2 linked regions of the Drosophila melanogaster genome follow. The protein of the gene in region 1 purifies or fractionates together with the protein of each later gene. This does not show direct contact. Each region holds a gene or a part of one and is shown in the gene's direction. Other genes may lie near its edges.

Evidence for each region. The genes of interacting proteins can lie anywhere in the genome.
Region 2: the proteins of CG6870 (region 1) and Cpr64Aa purify together in Drosophila melanogaster (affinity purification with mass spectrometry, with the first as the bait; one large-scale study listed by BioGRID). This does not show direct contact.

The regions. Positions count from the first base shown.
Region 1 is NT_033779.5:17,589,114-17,595,598, reverse strand, and holds CG6870 (uncharacterized protein), read left to right. Parts: upstream 1-3,299; 5' UTR 3,300-3,487; coding exon 3,488-3,901; 3' UTR 3,902-4,284; downstream 4,285-6,485. Other genes in the region: Sytalpha (synaptotagmin alpha), read right to left, coding at 3,266-3,275; Oli (olig family), read right to left, coding at 4,601-4,727, 4,788-5,359.
Region 2 is NT_037436.4:4,205,974-4,213,041, reverse strand, and holds Cpr64Aa (cuticular protein 64Aa), read left to right. Parts: upstream 1-3,863; 5' UTR 3,864-3,949; coding exon 3,950-4,150; intron 4,151-4,477; coding exon 4,478-4,855; 3' UTR 4,856-5,204; downstream 5,205-7,068. Other genes in the region: Cpr64Ac (cuticular protein 64Ac), read left to right, coding at 169-180, 243-797; Cpr64Ab (cuticular protein 64Ab), read left to right, coding at 1,570-1,584, 1,694-2,041.

The DNA.
Region 1 (6,485 bases):
ATGTGGATCATTTTCTGATATCATATTACTTATTATGCCATGCTTTTATGAGCCTATCGTATTTAAGGTTCCGCTAAAATGTAAAATGGAAGGGACTTTAAAAGCAAAGTGCGGCACAAGGAAATTAAAATTTTTCCTTTTACAATAATAAGCGAACGTATTGAAGTAAACTTTTAGGAAATGACTATAGTTTTGTCTGGCAACTCCTGTGAGAATTGGAAAAGATCGAAAACTCCCCTCAATTTATGTTGCATTATTAAACTATTTCACTCAAAGTATTTCTTCAGAACCTTGGACAGAACTTTTTACAAGGCAATTTACAAAGGAAAATACATTCGCTAAACTTTAACAATAAAAGTTTGCCAGCTTACACTTTCTTTTTGGTCTAGAAAATCAATTTACTGGTTCAACAAGTTCGTATTACATTCGCTCGACGAAACCATTGTTCAATGAAGATTTCAGTTGACTTCAAAGCAAGTAAAAACCATTAAATATTGAATGGCTTGTTTTCGAAACGTGACTTAACTATTTTCGCAGATTATAACATCGAATTTGTATGCAAATTGAGTTCACATGGATCAAACAGCTGTGTCAGCACTTACCCCTTAAATATTTGCAAATCGGTGACACAAAGCCGAACAAAAACTGTGCAAACAATTTTCTTATTGAAATTGCTGCATGCAATTTACCGCAACAATATGTTTACGAAATCCCGAATACGAATACGAATACGACAGTTCAACGTGGCGTATGCGCAATTTGCTCTACACAGTGGCATGCATATTGTGCGTGTTGTTAACGAGTTTTCGAAGCAATTTCCGTATTAGCGGGCTTTTATTAATTTTTAACTCAATAATCCCCTGCTCACATTGGTCAATTACATCAAATAAATTTAGCCAAGTAAAGAGATAACTGGAAGCGGTTGAATTTTCGCTTTTTTTTTTATTCACGCGCCTTAACAACTTGGCCAGAGCGTTGCTGAAACTCGACTGTGTTGTTGTTCACCAAAAATTACACGCAGTTACCCGATGTCATGTTCCATCACACTCACACTTTCGCACCCAAAACACAGATGGGCTGATGGAAACACCACACAAATGCAAATGGGAAACTTCGAGTCCCTGACGGAAATGTCCGTTAAAATCCCTAGTTTAAAAAAGTGTCTTTCGAAATAAAATTTATTTGCATACTTAATATACCAATATAAGGAAGTAATAATTAAATATTGGCCACCCGTTTTAGCCAAAAAGTAATCCAACTACCGGAAGGAAAAGCCTTTTTTTATACAAAAGCTTCCCAAAGAGCAACAGCTGGCCAATTTTAGAAAAAAGCCCGCGAAATCCGAATCGGTTAACCTTTCCCAAAAGCTTATGTTTTCAAGAAGCTTTTTAGCATTTCCGTTACATTGGGCGTTGCCACCTATTTCTATATATGAAAAGAAATATATAAATTTGTACGACTCATATAATATTATTTTCAGAATCATTGTGTTTACTTAAGAAACATGCATATAATCCTGACTGTTGATTTATTTATATAATACTTTTTAAATATTTATTGTATTTATTTATAATGAATTGCAATTCTTGTCGTTATCTATTTAAATATTTGTATTGCTTCTTTTCCCTGTTTTGCCAAAATTTGATTATGGTAAAAAAGAAAATATAACTTATAATATTCGGACTTCGTTGAACTTTGATTTATTCTTATTTTAGAAGTGATATAGCTAATAAACTTTAAATACAAATACAAGAAAAGACCAATGAATAGTCACTTTTAATTCCGTCCGTGGACTTGACAATGGTTTTGAAAGTACTTAGTACTTATTCAGCCTTATCTTAACATTTTTGCAAAAAATCGCCAGAACTAAATTATAATCTCTTCCCCTACATATTTCTAGACTACTCTGATAACACTAGGCAATTATTCAAATATTCTTGTCGAAGAAAGATTCGCGTTTTTTTCAAAAATGTACGCAATCACGCACACTTAGAATGATAACCTCTTAGAACTGAAATATATTCTGCCTTTTATTAGCAATGCTATTCGCAGGCTTTTTCTAACCATCAATAGATATTTAATATGGATACACCTAGTTCATGTAAACCTCAAAGTCAAAGTCAAATGGTTTAGCCCATTTAAAGAGCTCGTTCAGTTACGACTTTGAATATTTTTGCGGTTAATTACTTAACGTGATAATGCTGATCTTAACACTGAGATGCTAGCATATTAGATTACCAAATCTTGTTAAAACCACACATCAAACTTGAACTCAATTGAAAATAATAAATGATCAATAACAATTGAATCGTGACGTCTTAAAAGTTATTATTTAGAAATAATTTCTTGTTGTTTTTACTTGAATAATATTTATGTTTTATATTGCGTAGTTTGAACTATTTCCTTAGCTTTGCAATATTTTCTATTTATACAATACAATGTACAGAATTAGTGAATGGCGTTCTGTCTGGAATTTAATAAATGGGAAATTAAATAGTCTGAATAATTTCATCAGATCTTTAGTTTCGTAATAATTATTGATTAAACGTACTCACTCCATGTAAAATTAAAATCATTCCCATGGTTCAAATAGTTCAAAAGCGTGGCATAATTTCCGAATCCATTCCAATTTCAAGTTCAAAGTTGTAGTGAGCGATAATATTGAAGTCATTATCTCTGTTCCCATTAGAATTTAGAACAAACGTGGCTTGACACAAATCGTGATTTTTGGCAAACTTAAAACGCATTTAAGTATTAAAAGTAAATAACTCCAGGCTATTAACCCAAAATTTATTTTGATTGCCTTAATGACTGGCGATCAAACGGTTCGAGTAGACGTAATTGATTCGCCCGATGCACGTTTGACTTGTGCCAATAAATCAATTGTAATGCTGATAGGCGCGTTAAATGTCTCCCTTTTAATAATTGCTGGCCCATTAAATTTATAAGGTAGCAAGTAATTAGCTCACTGAGCAATCCGATTAACAGAGAAATATATAATTTATGCTCGTCTTTACGAGCATATTCGGAAATTGACTCATATGAGTACGAGTGACCACAAAACATTATTGCAAAATCTCGCAATCTCAGTGCAATGCCTAGCCCTCCCATGAACATATGTAGATGCAAACCAGTTCGGTTGAACATACATATATGTATATATATATATATAATTATATATTATATAGAAACCGATCTATAAGAGCTTCGCTTCTCTGGACACGAAGTCTTATCACCATGCTGTCGGCTCCATCGATCGACTCACGTGTTGTCATTTATAAAACGATTACAATCCAAGGCATGAATGACACTCCAGTACCGGTGGCTGCACACGAAAGACACTCAAGACCCCAAGTAAAACTGGAACTGAAGCCGACCAAGCAGAACTCAACTTGAATCGATTGCCGGCTGTCTGAAGTGATCGGGCGGCATTACAAATCGTTGTATCAAATATTAGTAAAAGTGAAAGTAATTGCATACTTACAACATGTCATCCGCGTTGACGAACCTCTTGCAATCGCTGAGAATTGTGCCCTTGGGACATGGAAAGTCCAGTAATCAGGTGGTCGTTGTACCAAGCAAAAAGGAACGTTTAAAACTGGAAGATCTGCCGGAGATCGCATTGGAGGAGGTGGCCCAGCACGACAGCTTCGACGATTGCTGGGTGGTAATCTACGATAGGGTCTACGATGTGACACACTTTCTAAGGGATCATCCCGGCGGCGACGACGTCATTATGGATCACGCAGGGCGAGATGCCACCATCGCCTTCCATGGCACAGGACACTCGGGGGATGCCATCGAAATGATGAAGGATTTCTTGATCGGTCAACTGCCCACCAAGCAGCACATTTTTCGCACTGGCAAAAACAAGGTTTTGTCCCTGGGCATACCGGAATAATATAATGCCAGCCGATTTTGCACCGATCGCCTTCGCCGCCGTCCTCCATGTCGTATATGTCTATATATATATATATTTTTAGAGTATTCATCGACTAGTTTTCTAGTTGTAATCCGCTTATTTCGAATTCCGCTAAACGGCTTTTGCTTAATCATCAAAAACCATACAGACAACTATGTATGTATATTTATATGTTAAATATTTTTGCCAAGACTTGAAACGGATCTAAGATTATATTATTTTAAATTTGATTGTGCTCTTTGATGTTTGTTATCTGATGACTATAAATGGTTGGTTGGGTTGGGCGTGTTTGAGTATTTGAAACTCTTATTTTGTTTGTTTGTTTGATGATTCTGAAAAATGACAGGCTTCTATCAGTGCTGATGGGTAAACCTAAATGACCAAACCCTTTTCCAACGACATACTTTCTACTTCAATAATACTTTATTCGGTAATATTCATCTTACACATATTGGTTGACATTGGGTAAATGCATAAATAAGAAATGCTTATGACAAAAATAAATATCACTGAACAGATTTTCACTTGGCTGCTCTGATAAGAGGCTCCTTATCAACCTCCTTTCGTCTGACTAGTACACAAGTATTTGGCATTTGCTTTCCAATTGACTTAAAAGTATTGCTCATTAATGGATTGCTTATCAGTTGAACCATAGTTTATGGTGGCCCCCACTCCTATTTAACTGCTGCTAGTCGGTGGTTCGTTGTGAGGTCCTTGAAGAAGAGCCTGCAACTTGGCAGCCGCCGGAAATGCACCCAAATCCAGTGGCGCTGCTCCCGTGGTGCTTTGTATATAGGCCAAAAGTCTAAAAGTAAAAGCATATATGTTAATAATTCCTATTGAGCGTGGTAATGAACTACGTTACCTTCTCAACTCCTCGAGAGCATTTTGCTGCATCAGAATGTAGTTCTTAGCCAGCAGCAAGGTGGCTATTTTCGACAGCTTTCGCACAGAAGGCGAATGGGCATAGGGAATCACACTTCTCAGCTCATCAAGGGCATCATTCAAATCGTGCATCCTTCGTCGTTCCCGGGCATTTATGTTCAGCCTTACCGTCTTTCCCTGGCGGTTTTTCTGCTTGCCACTGTTGGAGCCACTTCCGCTGGCGCCACCACTGGACACGGCCACCGTGGTGGTGCCACCACTGATGGCAATGGCTGCGATGGCGGCGGCCGTGGGACTCAATGGCTTCTCCGGAGCACTGGGCCCTGGTTTGTTCTCATCCGTCGGTGGCTGCTGGGACATGCCCATTCCCTGGGCATAGAAACCACCCAGACCAACCGATCCAAGTGGCGTCCGACGGCCGGGGACGCTTTGTGGTGGGCTGGCGGTGGGTGCTGGATGCTGGCCACCAAGCATATTGGCTGTAGGAGGTATTGGCATGTGTCCGTGGTTGGGGAGACCGGGAAAACCAAAAGCAAGATTCGAGGGATCCATTTTTTTGTATTTTATGGGACTTTTCCAGCTGTGAAAAAAAGGTTGAAGGGATGTGTAATCTTTTAGGGTAGTCCTTGCAAATCAAAGTTATTATGATGCAGGGTTGCATAAGAAAACTAAAAAATAGGGGTGAATACTCGTATGCTCAGCTGTTCGGTAGCGCCATCTGTCGGAATTTTATGTATTTAATAGGTTAGCAAAGCTTTTTATAGGTGGAGCATCTGTTTTGTGTTTTAACCCGAAATGGTTTAACAAATTGCAAACGTCTGTCAGGTATTCCTTAAATTTAATTAAAGCAAAATAATCGTTAAGCCTTTCGGAAATTCAAAGCCAAAATATTACGCGGTAGTCAGATTAACAAGATGAATATAAGCTTATCAAAGCTTTTCATAGGTGGCGCTGTGTAGTAGTCCAATTTAAGGGATGGTTTAATATGATGTTTCATGGCGAATACAATTTTAGCGGCATTAAATTTATTTAGGAGCGCAGCACTTCAGAAAACAATAAACTTTAAAATTATACGTCAATATATATAAATAATAAATTTGGCAATTATTAACCCAACGAAATGGATTATAAAATATGCAAAATCGACGCAGCACTTTATTTAACTTGCAGTTAATTCATGACACACTTAAAAGATTATTAATTTAAATTAACCACAAATCACAAGTTCGCCGGTGTACGAAGGGGACGAAGAGCACAGAGCACGGAGAAAGAAATTGCGGATTTAAACATTTTTAAAAATCGCACGCACCACAAACCAGGCAAAAAATTCAGATCCTGAATCGCAATCGGAATCGATGCGCGAGTGTGAGGTGCCCGGCAACAACAGAGACGACCGCGATTTTGTGGTGGGTTATAGTAGTCGCATAACGATTTTCCGATTTTCTCCGCTCACTCTCTCTCTCTCTCTCCCTGCCTCCGCCTATGCTTTCCAATCGCCCGTCTCTTTCGCTCTGTCAGCGAGGATGATTATAAACTTTTTGCCACCGACGCCACCGTCGCCGTTTGGTGTTAATCTCTTTCTGCAGAAGGAATATTATGAGCCACTATATAAAATGTGGGTCGGGTGTCGACGCCGGTGGTTGACGTTTAGTGGTTGGGCTTCGCATAATGCAGCATC
Region 2 (7,068 bases), on another chromosome or scaffold:
TTGTCACTCTGCCCATTAGATTGTCCAGTTTTTTTTTCCGCTGGCAGCTGCCGCCAGTTTCGAATATAAAACTGAAGACCACGCGGAAAATGCATCTCACATTTGAGCTGAGTTCTCGCAGTGCAGACACATCCAAACCAGAGCTCCCTCATTCTCACATCCTTCGCCATGATTGCCCAGGTGAGTTGGCCAAAGGAGTGCAGCTTTTAGTTGGCTCAACTGATCATGGAATTCCTCGCCAGACTCTGTTCGTTTTGGGACTGATCCTGTCCGCCGTTGTGGCCATTCCCATTGATCCCTATGGACTTTCGGCCCCTGGACTCACCTATGCGGCTCCCAAGTTGCTTGCTGCTCCTGCCATTTCCTATGCTGCTCCCAAACTCCTGGCGGCTCCTGCCATCTCGTATGCCGCTCCTGCCATCTCCTATGCTCCCAAGGTCCTGGCTGCCCCCGTCGCTGTGGCCAAGGTGGCTGTTGCCGAGCCCTACGATCCCAATCCGCAGTACAGCTTCTCGTACGGAGTAACCGATCATCACACCGGTGACTCCAAGCAGCAGGAGGAGACCCTGGTCAACGGAGTCGTCCACGGCAGCTACTCCCTGGCCGAACCCGATGGCACTATTCGCAAGGTCACCTACACCGCCGACAAGGTCAACGGATTCAATGCGGTCGTGGAGAAGAAGGGCGTGGCCGCGGTGGCCATTGCCAAGCCAGCTCTTGCCGTCGCCGCCGTTCCCGCCATCACCAAGATTGGATACGCTTCGGCGCCTGGTCTGAGTCTGGGTGGATACCACTAGGCGATGAACCGGTGGACCAAGCGATGACAAACTCCATGGCCTAGTTGTAGGACCGTTGTTAAATAGTTCTAATGCATTTACCCACTTTTCTGTCAGTCAAAACCCGAAACACAAGGACGTGCGTGCTGTTGCCACCCCGCTGTTGACCCACATTCCCAATCTCCGATCGAAGGATCGCCACCATAGACTACGTTTAGGGATACCGTTCTGGGGATCTGGGGAACGGCTATCGGCCACTTAGTGAATTAGTAACTGCATTTACTGAATAAAAGTTTCGGTACAAAAAAAAAGATTGAATGAATTGTTATTAGTTGTTCGATGGAACTGATCGGTTGGAAGTGATATTCGAAAAGTTGAAATATTTCTAGGAATGCTCCACATTCCCCTGCTTAACCCAGTTAAACATTGGGGTAGGTCCCGAGCTTCGAGTTAAAGCTCCCAATCTTAGATTCCGATCACGTAGTGCCAACTATATTTACGGTTATCACAATTCATATTGGTGGGGCTTCAATGGAGGGGAGAATTGTGCAAGTTGGGCCATTGGATGGCACGTCCATGGGGGAAACTTTTTGCAGGTGGACCAGGCACAAAAACGGGCCATTACGTCAGCAAATGGAATCGTTTTTGGCAGCGGTTGCCACACGGCGCATGTTATCGCGGAAATGTGGAGGCCCTTTATAACCCCGATCCAATGGCAATCCAAGACAGTTCCGACAGCATTGTCAAGCACAAAGCACCATTGGAAAACCACTATCCACCAGCAAATCTAGTCATGGCCCTGATCAAGGTGAGTTGAGGGAATCCTGGTCAAGGAATGTGATTGAACATACTACTAGGATCTGCACAAGTGTATATCTTGATCATAAATCAATCAATGCACCTTACTTAACCCACAGATCACCCTCATCTGCTGCGCTCTGATCGCCGCCATCGAGTGCGCCCTGCTCCCAGCTGCTGTTCCAGTGGGAGTGCCCCTCAACACGGAGGTGGATCCACATCCGCAGTACGCGTTCGCCTATAATGTGCAGGATGCCCTTACCGGGGACAGCAAGAGCCAGCAGGAGGTGCGGGATGGAGATGTGGTCAAGGGCTCCTACTCGGTGGTCGATGCCGATGGTTCACTGCGCACCGTCTTCTACACCGCCGATCCCATCAACGGTTTCAATGCGGTGGTGCAGCGAGGACCAGTTCCGGTGGCTGCTCGCCCATTGGTGGCTCCAGTGGCTGCTCCAATCTTGGGCTAACTCCACAATCTTTCAGAGCCTTTAACACTGCTTGTAACCTAGCTTTTACATAACTTATTGTCTGCTCCTTAGTCCGTTGTAAAGTCAGTAATCATTAAACAATAAACTCAATAAGCCAAAGAAATACATGAAATCCTTCAATCATATTCAAGGAAAATCCGCAAGTATTCGCTTCTCAAGGCGTTGATTAACTAAAATTAATCAAAAGCTCTACTAAAATTCCGAAACGAGTTTAAATTTACACCTATACATTTTTATTAATTAGTCAGTTGATTAGACAAGCTCAAGGCCCAAAATGCATACTTGCCTAGTTAATGATAATGAACTAAATTAAAAACACACTTAAAAGTAGTGCAAAATAACAAGATATTCAATGGACATTTTTTCAAGATCAAAATTTGCGTGTTAATTATGATGCAAATATCGTCGTTTTGAACTTGAAACTTAGCAGTGTGTTAACTTTTTCAATTACATCATAATTGCGGGTGTCAAGAAATGGAAATGGTTATGTGCTTAATGGAACTAATTACTTGGTGAACATTTTCGTGACTCCATGCCATGTAAAAGTGGTTTTGTAATTTTAAATGTAACAAAATGTAACCAGGAAAAGCCCAATTCGCCAAAGAAAGCTGACCCATTCCACTTACATAAGACCGCAATCTTAGATGGTTATCTCCCCTCCAGCTGTCCCACGCCCAAAGAACTCTTCCACTCCAAATGAATACATTCACTCTCGCTGGCCCAACACGCACTCAAATTATTCAATAGCTTAATTGAAAGTAAAAAATCGGCACGAGATGCAATTTTTGGATTACGCAAACCCCAACCCGAGCATGTCCATAGATGTTGCTGCCGGCGCCGACTGCAACTGCAGCAGTTACTGCAACTGCAACTGCAGCAACGCCTAACAAGCGGCGGTACGCGTTGAAAATTAGTGATAATGGCCAAAATTGTCCCAATGGCAACAGAGCAGCGAAACAGAACCAAATCTATACACTCAAAAAAATACTGCATGACATTCGAAAATCTATAGGATTGAACAGAATATTCTACAATTGATATCCTTTTGTATTGTATATGTTATCCAAGTACTTTTTTCGTAGAGATTTTAATATCACATATCACATTCATTGCGGTTAGAACTTTTTCGTTTTCTCGCAGTGCATTGAATGCGTCTGGCGTAGATTTTTTGGGTGGGCGCGGCTTAGAGCAGCCAGCCAGTTTCGAAGGCTGTGCCCCAAACACACCTTTCAACAATCGACTGCTGGGTGCGTGTGCAGCGTCGCCCCAATCTGGTGGCCATAAAGTCGAGACATGGAGACATGGGAGGCACTGGTGCTCATGCGTCCACCACACCTGATCCGTCCGGCCACCCGGCTTAGGCCCAAATAATTCGCTTTCGAATTGAACTTTTTTGTCACGACAACAACGACGGCGATTCAGCCGGCGTGGGACCAGTTTGCTTTGGTCCAGCACAGTCCTCCCAGACTCCCAGACATGCGTGAACCGCCAAGCACCTCCAGCGCCTTCAGCTCGACCGGCAGCTCCTCCACCTCCGGACAGCCCCTTCTGATTGCCATGGGCAGCGAAAAATGAATTATTTTATATTTGTCGCGATCGATGCGAGCATTTCGCATAGGCACAGGCCGCTACAGACTCCACACGCATGCTCACTTTTTAGTTGTTTATTATTATTTTTTGTGTCTTGCTGCGCTTTTTGCATAAATATCTGGTGGCAGGCGGCGGCGGAGGCTGTGGCGGATTTTTGGGCTCGCGTCTATGTGAGGCCTATAAAAAGCAATTGTCGTGCGGCCACAGAACCACAGATCGAGTTCATTTGTCAGTCGAGCAGCAGTAGACCTCCAGTTCTCCACTACTCCATCGCAAACACCAAGCAATCCGTCCAGAATGGCACAGAAACTGATCCTCGTCCTGAGCGCCCTGGTGGCGGTGTCCTCCGCCGTTGTGGTCCCTGGTCCCGGACTGGCACTGCCCGCCTATCCATCGTACCCGGCGCTGGCCAAGGTGGCTGCTCCTCTGGTGGCCAAGGTGGCGGGTCCGGAGCCATACGATCCCAATCCCCAATACACCTTCAGCTACGATGTTCATGTGAGTCAGCTTCGTAAGAAGTTATTAGTCACCTCATAAAAAGCAATGCCAATTCAGAAATCTGCATTCGAATTTTATTGCTTTATTGAGCAACTGGTATGCAAATTTTGATTTTGCCAGACATTTTTATGAAGTGTTTATGGAAGCTTAGAACTATTAAATCCGACCACTTGGTTGAGCAAGTTGGATGTTGGATATAAAATATTTATAGTTTCCTTGAAATCCTTAGGATATAAGATGCAAAGGATTCGTTTCAAGGCATTTCTTTAAATATAAAGTACCTATTCCTATCCTTTGCTAATCCAACAACTTCCTTCTGCCCACCAGGATGGCTCCACTGGTGACGTGAAGAGCCAGCAGGAGACCCGCAGCGGAGATGTGGTGCAGGGCGCCTATTCACTGATTGAGGCCGACGGAACCCGCCGCATTGTGGAGTACACCGCCGATCCCGTGCACGGATTCAACGCAGTGGTGCGCCGCGAGGGAGCTGTGGTGAAGGCTGTGGCTCCGGTGGCCAAGGTTCTGGCCCCGGCTCCGCTGCTCCATGCCTCTCCTCTGGTGGCCAAGGTGCCCGCCTATGGTCCGGCTCTGGCGCCCGCTTACCCGGCTCTGGCCCACGGATACGGACCGGCTCTGGCTCCCGCCTATGGACCTGCTCTGCCCAAGCTGGCCCTGCCCGCCCTCTCGCCCCTGGGCTACCACTAAGTCAGATGGATGGATATACACCACTCGAATAATGCCGACCTCTTGCCGCAACCGAATAATGGACACATCGCGACCAACTTCTCCTGCCACCTGGGCTCCAGTTAGCCGGAGCTCATGGGCCGATCATAGTCGATAGTAGTTGTAGTATTAGTGGAAATGAAAGCGATTTATCGAAATATGTACATACGAATTCACGGACAGCGGATTCCGATTGCCCAGTCCTTGAGTTACGGATCCAATGTTCCCTCATCTACACTCACACATTCTCGAGACCTTTCATTTATGTTTCTTGTCTTCTTAATCTTAAGGCTGTTTGACCGCGATAAATACTCTATAATCCCCAACTCACAATCCCCGTTTCAATTCTTATTTAATCCGAGCCTGTGCACTCGAGTAGAACTCGCAGAATGAGAAACGAGATTGCAATAAACGAACCGAAGCTATGCAAATGGAAAGTTAATGGAGTATTCTTTTACGGGAAATGAAAATTTGGAAGAAAATTACTCTGATTCTTGAGTTTTAAAACGGAAGCTGATTTCTGTTTAAAGCTATTGCTTGAATATTATATCGAAATATATTACAACCATTGAACATTAGTAGGATTCAAAGACAATTACTATATTTGTAGCTAAATAATTGAAAATATCTTATGTTACATATTTTTTGAATATATAATTTTCAAATAAATCGGTTTCCTTCAAGAACTAAAGAGTTATATTTGAATAATATTATTCAACTAATAGGCAATAACTTGCTTGTGAATTTTTTACGCTTAATAAAAAGTAAAGCATACTAAAGCTATTTAATTCGATTTTAATTGCCAAGATTGCGTTTAATTCTAAATCATTGAATGATAATCGCTGTTATTAGAACCAAAGTGCCATTATTCAGTGGCGGCTTAGACTTTGACACTGGCAACACATGAATTCCATGTTAATTTTGGGACATGTAGTGCACTTGTGTCGCTCACCGCCCGTGAGTGGTTCGACCTTAGAACAGAACAAGCCCCACCTGCGTGGGTCACCCACCGGGCTACCGATGCAGTGCGCCACTGAATGGTGGATAGGCTAATCGCTCAAGGTCGGGCCACGCACCACAGAAAACTGCGTAATTCGAGCGTCAATGCAAAGTGGTCTAAATGAAATTTATGGTCTCAATTGGAGAACAGTCCGTCGCCGATCCGATTGCCAATCGATCCGATCGAGTAATTGGCAACTGGCCACCGGGCACAATGGAGAACTTGGAACTGGAACTGAAACTGGCCGCGCCTCGATCATTGGCTTTGGATCCGGATAATTTGATCCGTCCGAGAACTGACCTCCATCGGAATGGTGCGGAGTGGACCCCACATCGTCTGCACATCTGCAGCGGCGCCTTCAATTATGCGCATATTTGTTATTATTTATGTAAAAATGTATAGATCGCATAATGACTTTTCGTTACATTTGCACTTGCATAATGCGACGGGCCTTTGTTGCAATCGACATTAAACGCTTTTGATGATTTAATAAAATTAAATTGAAATGTTAATCGCGACACGGCATGGGCGGGAAACTGGAGGGGGGTAGCTTCAAAAGACATGGGCGAAAGCGTAAGACAATGGGCGTGCTGCAGCTCCAAGCAACCGGTGCTACAATGGGCACCAAATGCTCGAGGGGCTACCAAAATATCGGGAAAATTTTAGAAAGTATTGCGGAAATACGATGATGCACTATAGTTTTCACATTTCATTAATATCTGCGCATTATACACCTTTAAGTTGAGCAACACTTTAAATTTAGACATTCTTTAACAACTTCTAAAGACAATTGTAGTTAAGAAACTTAAAAATGCCTTATGTAAGCAAGTAAACAAAATATAAGCATATAGACACCTGAGTAGATTGATTTTCAATAAAAAACTATAAAATATTTGCATCATAATAAAGTTTTTATTAATAACGACTAAGTCCTAGACCCCGGCCATATGATAATCTCAAAATCTCGCCACTAATCTCAGATTAGTGAATACGATTTTAATGAGATTTTCAGCCAAAAGTCCGACCATAAATAGCCATCGGATTATCACCGATTTGTGGCATTGTGTTTGACGCATTTCACCCATTGTGTCAGTGGAACTACTAAACGTATTGTGGTTACCACCAGCCGAGTGTGTTGATGATCATGATGACTCCGCTGCAGACTTTAATGATTGAGAGGGATTTGTTTGCATTT